Saccharomyces cerevisiae S288C: one gene and its partner. The protein of the gene in region 2 purifies or fractionates together with the protein of the main gene of each other region. This does not show direct contact. Each region holds a gene or a part of one and is shown on either strand. Other genes may lie near its edges.

Region 1 (3,337 bases), on a different chromosome or scaffold from region 2:
TCATTGTCAAGTTTTAAATTAAGAATAGTGGCTAATTTTCCTTCTTTATTTATGCCAGACCAAGTGCCAAATATTTGTTTTTCTGCTGAGGTTTTGGCCAGATCGTAGGGTGAAAGGATAAAATCATTGTTATGCCAGCATGTAGCATGTGTTTTTCTTGCCAAGAATTCGTCTCTGTTAGATATTAAGATGAGTTCATAGTCAGGATGTGCCCTTGTGGCCATTAAAATGCACATTATTTGTTCGTTAGTTTTTGGTTTTTAATACTTTAGCCACAGGTGTGTTAATAAATGCAAGCGTTTCTTTCCTTTTCTGCCTCACTTCATATACTACTATCCTACTCCACTTTCAGGGGGAGACTATTTTTTTAGCGCTTTAGGAATTGAACGAAAAAGTCGAAAGCTAGGCAGATGCCAAGAATATAATGTGAGGCAAAAAAAAAAAAAAAAAAAAAAAAAGAATGATTCTGAAGTAAACGCATTGCGAACTAAATGTTGCTATGCCACTTAATCGAAAATTCTATGAAAAAACCCCTTGATCCCCTTTTCTGATTTATGTTTTTGATATTTTTCGATCCTCTTCTTATTCTTCTCTACTGCCATGTTCAACTTGTTTGGTTCTAGAGAAGAACCTTGAGAATTTGTAGTAACCTTGGATCGTGTCGAATGCATATCTGTATGGTCGTTAATATGCTCTTTTTTAGTTGAGGATACGCGAGAGTCCTCCCTCTTCAAACTTTCAAGCGTCTTCAATTTGACCAACCCGGTTTCAGTTTCTAAACGATACTCTTCTGGAAATGCAGCATCGTGAGCTGAGTTTGTTACTGGGGCGGTAATATCCGGAAGAGCTTTCTTGTTCAAATTTAAACCATCTTCTTTTAAGGAATCAACTGTTTCTGAGTTGCCCTCTAAAGCATTGTGGGTAACCATCTTTTCTATCGAATTTGAAGTTGGCCTTTTTAAAGTACTAGAACTGTGATGAGAATGCACATCTGAATGACGGTGTTGATCATCTACATTACTATCATCTTCCAGTTGCCCCTTTCCAACAATGGTATCGTTTTTTAAAAGAGGCTGTTCTGGAGCTTCAGAATCTTTGAACCCAGTAAAGGGCTCCGGTTTGTAAGAGTCAATAGAAGAAAAGGACGATATGTCTTCATATTCATTATCGGTAGTGACAGTAACAGATGGGACAGGCATAGTCTACGTTGATACGTTGTTATGACTTTGATTTGTTAATGCGGATATAAACTAACCGTACAACTACCCGTTGTGAATTGTTGTGGTAGTATATTAATGAAAAAAGTAACGGTATTTTTTTTCTTTAGGAGAGCAATTAAGTCAAGTGAGGTATGTAGTTGCTCATCGATGGGAATTATCACTTTTCGTCTACGATAGGGGCCCTATCAAAGAAAATCGCGCAGTAAAATTCCGGAAGTGAAGACTCAAGTACAAAAAGTTTATAGTCGAGATGGTAAAAATCCTACAACGGCATCACTTATACAGATGCAGGAGCATCCTGCTTTTATTTAGTACTGGTGTAAATTACTTGCAATACGCCGGCAATAAAAGAAATTAAATAAATATACGTGTACGCTCTCATGCGCTAACAAGTGTGTAACCTAGTAATTCTTTGAATCTGGTGTCCTTGATACACATGACCATTAATGCAACCTCCACGTACAATGCTAGATTGTCTTCTTTCAATTTGTTCAACGAGCTAGAGTCTATAACCCATAATACGGAATCAGTTTCAGTTTCGATGGTGAGCTTTTGTTCTCTAGGCATAGCATTCCCTGGCGCAATGATTTTTCCGAAGCATGTGCCATTTGAAAAAATCTCGTACAAGGTTCCTTGTGGTAGTTCATATGTTGCCTTCAACATACCTGTTTCCACAAGGAAAAAAATGTTGTCTGCATGTAGTAAATGTGATTGACTTGCTAATCTGCGCCTGGTGAAGTAGGGGCAGAGTTGTGCCCAAAACTTGATTTCCTTTTCTCTTACTTTTTGAACTTCAGATATTATATCGGGTCGGTACTGCTTTAATGCAAATAACAATATAGGCAGGACAGGTTCATCATCTTTGTACTCCTTTTTGAAATTCTTCACTGCTTGTTCGTCGTTTACAAATACATTCTGTGCTACAGAAAGTATTTGGTAATTACGAGGAGTATTGGTTGGTAGTGACATTAAGTTTCTCGCTGTGTCTCCATTGCTTCCCCTGTTTAAACCATTTCCTATTGTATCAATTTTTTTGTTTTTAGTGGCTGCAATTACTGCGGATACGACATTATTTTGCTTTCCTTCTTCCAATCTTTCTTTCGCCTTTTTTCTTAATTGTTTATATTGAAAAAGGAATTCGTTTTCACACCATTCCAACGCACTGTTTAAATCAGCAAATAATTCCACATCGTTTAGTAATCCCACATTATTGAAGGCGTTGTAAATACGGTCCCTTTCTTTGATTGAAGATATGATTAGTTTGATTCTTTTGGTTTCCGTGAATCTTTTAATTCTATTGAAACCTTCTGCCGCAGAATAGTCAATATTGTCGGCATTAATATTTTTAAAGTCCAATATTAAATACTTTATTCTGCGTTTTGTTGCATCTTTGTTACTTATTTGCAGCAATCTTTCAATTTTCTCTTCAATAGATATGATTGTTCCGAAAAACAGAAGGTTTTGGAGCTTTAAAACATATATTTGTTCACCAATTCCATCCAAAAATTTTGTTTGAACGTAATCACGATATACTGTACTTCTTGCGACGTTCCCATTATATTCACCGTTAATGGTTTGTAATTTCGTACTATCCACCAAAAACGAAAAACATGCAATTAAAATGCCAACGATGATACCTAGGACAAAATCAAAGATACCCATCGTGAAAACAATAATGACAACAGTCAAATATTCGAATCTATTCAATTTATTCCATGTATCGACCAACGCTTCCACTAATAACTCGTAGCCTAGTAGGAAAATTAGAGAGCCCACTATACAGATTGGAATGAATGATATTATGACTGGTCCAATGATCATAATACAGATAGTCAAAGCTATTAAAAGGAACCCAGCGAATGGCGAATCAGCGCCCGCCCTAATAAACAGAACACTGTTGGTATATACCAAGTAATTTTGGACAGAACCTAATAATCCACTAAAAAAGTTGGAATAACCATGTGCAATCAATTCTCTGTCAACATCATACTTATCCATTTGTAGTGACATAGCCAACGCAGGAACATTTATAGGAACATGTAGGATACCAAAAAATGTCAATGCCATCATCGTTGGTATTTGTTGCAAAACTAGTGACCAATGAACTTTATGGACAT
Region 2 (3,437 bases):
CTTTGTCATACAAATCCACAGTAGTGGAAGTACTGTTAATATCTAAATATTCAAGTTTGTAATTCCTTTGTTCTAGATCTTTTAAATAGACTGAGTACTCCTCTAAAGGTTCCGTAGATTGGTCGTAAAGAACAAGCGTTCTTGAAGTTTGTGTGCCCACAACGAAAATGGCCTGCAGAAGGATACAAAAGAAAAAATTCCAATCGGTCCGCATCCTAAATAATCAAAAAAGGATAATTCAAAATTTGCACCGTCAATTGTGTTAAAGTATTCAACTTTATAACCAATTCAGTTGACTATACACCTCTTTAAAGGTTTCTCTTTTCAAGAAGCGTGTTTGATATTTTTCAGGCGTAGCTTAGGGTAATGCATTATTCAATAACCCGCCCTGAAAATATCGAAAGTAGATATTGGGATATCTTTAATTGTAGTATACTAATATGTATCTATAAAACAATGAGAGCCCCCTATCATCATCCAGAGATCTTACTCCGCCATTTTTATTTTTTATAGGTTTCTGGCAACCATGATTCATCAACTTTTTTGACAGTGGCACTCTTCTTGGAAGGTCTTTGATTTGTTTTAGACTTCATGTAGTAATAACTTACACCTCCGATGATGGCTAGAAAGATGACCTGAACTGATAAAAATTGTGGGTTGAAAAAGGAAATAGGTGGGCTAACAATTTCGAATAGGGTTGGTGGTGCCGCAATTCTCACGATTTCATCGAACCTAGAAGCTAATAAAAATGGGATTAAAAAGTATTGTCCTTCCGGTAAATTTAACGTAACGTCTTGCCCGAATTTTGAAGTTCCGTTGACCTCCATTTCGTAAGGCCCAATACTCGCACCTGTAATGTCCGCCACAGGATAACCATGTGGATATGTAACAATTGTTCCGTTGACACCAAAAATTGTGATATTAGTATCTTCCCAATTAGTAACATTATAGGCTAAGGTAGCGGTATCCTCCGCGTAAAACTCAAGGAAAGAATCATGATTTTCTGATTCCTTCCCAACGACATCATATTTCACCTCTATATTAATAGAAGGTGGCGCTACCGCCTCCGCAACTTCCTGTTCATGTTCGACATTGTCGCTATTATTAGCTGATATGGCAGCACAGAAGCTGCTCAAGGCAGTTAATAAATTAAACCCGATTAACATAGAAAACCTCATAATTGCCAGCTATAAAGAAGTGACAGTGAACTTTTACTTGTTTCTTTTGTTTAACCACTAGTATGTAATTGTTTTTGCAGAATTTGAAACTTCACCAAAATCTTCTTAACGTTCAATGACAAAATTACTTACCCGAACTACCGAACTACGAAACATGAATAAATAAACTGGAGGCATAAACTCATTTCCAAATTCCCGGAATACATCGTGTAGTCAAGCAGCATACATCACTATCAAAAATCATGCGCTTGTGATTATCGTATAGTGTATTTATATAATATATATAGATAGCGATAAATGGCAAGATCCTCTATGATAAAAGTCATCATAATGAAAACAGATGGCGCTTGTCTACTGTTTGCAAGGCTTGAAATCACAGGTTTTTATTATATCGTGGATTTTTGCCATTGCCTAAATCAAAAATAATGATCGATTTTTTGTGAATTAGGGAACGGAAGGAAAAAATCAGCAAACAGTCAGCCCTAGCACCATAGGCCGACAGCAACAAAAACTGTTTTTTTATTCTCAAATATTCATGATATTGATTACACCGTACTTCTTTTCAATGCGTAAACAACTAGAGTTGACAAATATTATAAACTAAAAACTATCATATTAATAATATACCTCCTAGCACTTCGTAATGTTTCTGTCATTGAATGGCGAGAACATAATTTTAAAGAATCAACACCTTAAATTGTTAACCTTAACAAATGAAGTAAATTCAAATATTTACTCTTGAATTCTTTTTGCTTTAACTAACACATTGAAATATCAAATTAGTCCACTTTTCTTCCTTGTTGAATGGGTTTCTTCATTAACAGGGGAACGCTTGCCTACCATCAAGCCCATTCAATGCAGATGTGATTAATTGGTAAACAAAGGGCCAAGCAAAAATACATCTCTCCTACATGCTACATAAGTCCGAGATATGTTTTATTTAAGAACTATGAATCTGTAAATGACTGATTCAATATTAAACTAAAATTTCTATGAAACATCAAATTAATCACGTGCTTTTTAAAAAATATAAATTTAATTTCATTTTCTATTTCAATATTTATTAAATAAAAAATTTGAAAAATATATAAAAATTGTAGCAGTATTAGATTTCCGAAAAGAAAAAAAGGTTTCAAGAAAAGGAAAAGAAAAACTAAACGTAGTATAAAGTCTTGTTTAGTGCAAGCCACTGTTGGCGTTTCAACTAAACTATTCCTTAAAAATAAAGTACAATGTTACTGCTAAACAATGTTGAAGGTGAGCTTAAGACAGTAAATCAAGGAAATGCGGTATAATTCCTGCTGACAAAGCCGCACATAAATAGCAGTTGTTAGCTATAAGGAGATTTTTAGCTACGAACATGGTTGTAATTCTCTTTATCCTGATTACCTTCAAGATTAAGAAAAAAACAACCATGGTAACTACTTTGGCTCAAAGTCAAACAAAACTTTTACCATTTCACGGTACACGTTTCCGATAAAATATCACTAGCTATTCAATGTCTGTATTCATCGATAAGCCAGAGTACGACGTACAAAAAATAACGTAAATGCATATCCTGCATCAAGAAAGAACCCTTATGGACGAACAACGAAAGAGATCTAAATTTAGAAGACAGCAAGACTAACCATTTGATAGCGTAGTAAGGCTTATCTAGAAATGTTGGACAGATAGGAAGAGAAAGTATAATAATGGTGTATGGTAGATGACTCTATAATCGTGGTCGGAACGTGCAATATATGAGAACGATGAATGCATATACATATGTCGCGACTCCTTTTTTTCCATTATAGCGGCATCGCTTTATTTCGCGTTTTAATTCATTTTCTTTTTTCTTCATTTCTTTCTGCATATGCAAACGCGGCAAGAAGTGCCCACGGATCCGAAGAAAACCTAATACATTGAAGTTTCTCTCCCTGAGATAGGAACTCTCTCTTCTGCGTCAGAAAAAAAAAAAAGTACTCTTTCTGCATATATTGCTCACTACTGACTCACTGATCCTTTTACGAATAGTTGGGCAACACCTATTAAGTTGTAAAACAATCGCGAAAAAAAAAAGAAAACAACCAAGGCATCCCACTTTTCGAACCCTGGCGCTCGGAAGACTTAATCATTGCGAGGTCTCAATTGGCCGGACCGCCACCATGCAGAAAAATGGTGGAAAGTGCGTGCGCGTTTCTCGTGCCACGTGCTTTTAACCTAAATAGGATACAAACTATCGGCTTATCTTTAGACACGCTCTCGCAGAACGATGAGCTA

Evidence for each region.
Region 1: the proteins of IRC22 (region 2) and YGR126W purify together in Saccharomyces cerevisiae (affinity purification with mass spectrometry, with the first as the bait; one large-scale study listed by BioGRID). This does not show direct contact.

The regions. Positions count from the first base shown.
Region 1 is NC_001139.9:743,697-747,033, reverse strand, and holds YGR126W (uncharacterized protein), read right to left. Parts: upstream 1,200-3,337; coding exon 507-1,199; downstream 1-506. Other genes in the region: YGR127W (uncharacterized protein), read right to left, coding at 1-236; VSB1 (Vsb1p), read right to left, coding at 1,599-3,337.
Region 2 is NC_001137.3:149,801-153,237, forward strand, and holds IRC22 (Irc22p), read right to left. Parts: upstream 1,179-3,437; coding exon 501-1,178; downstream 1-500. Other genes in the region: WBP1 (dolichyl-diphosphooligosaccharide-protein glycotransferase), read right to left, coding at 1-214. UniProt on the Saccharomyces cerevisiae protein: Is probably involved in a pathway contributing to genomic integrity.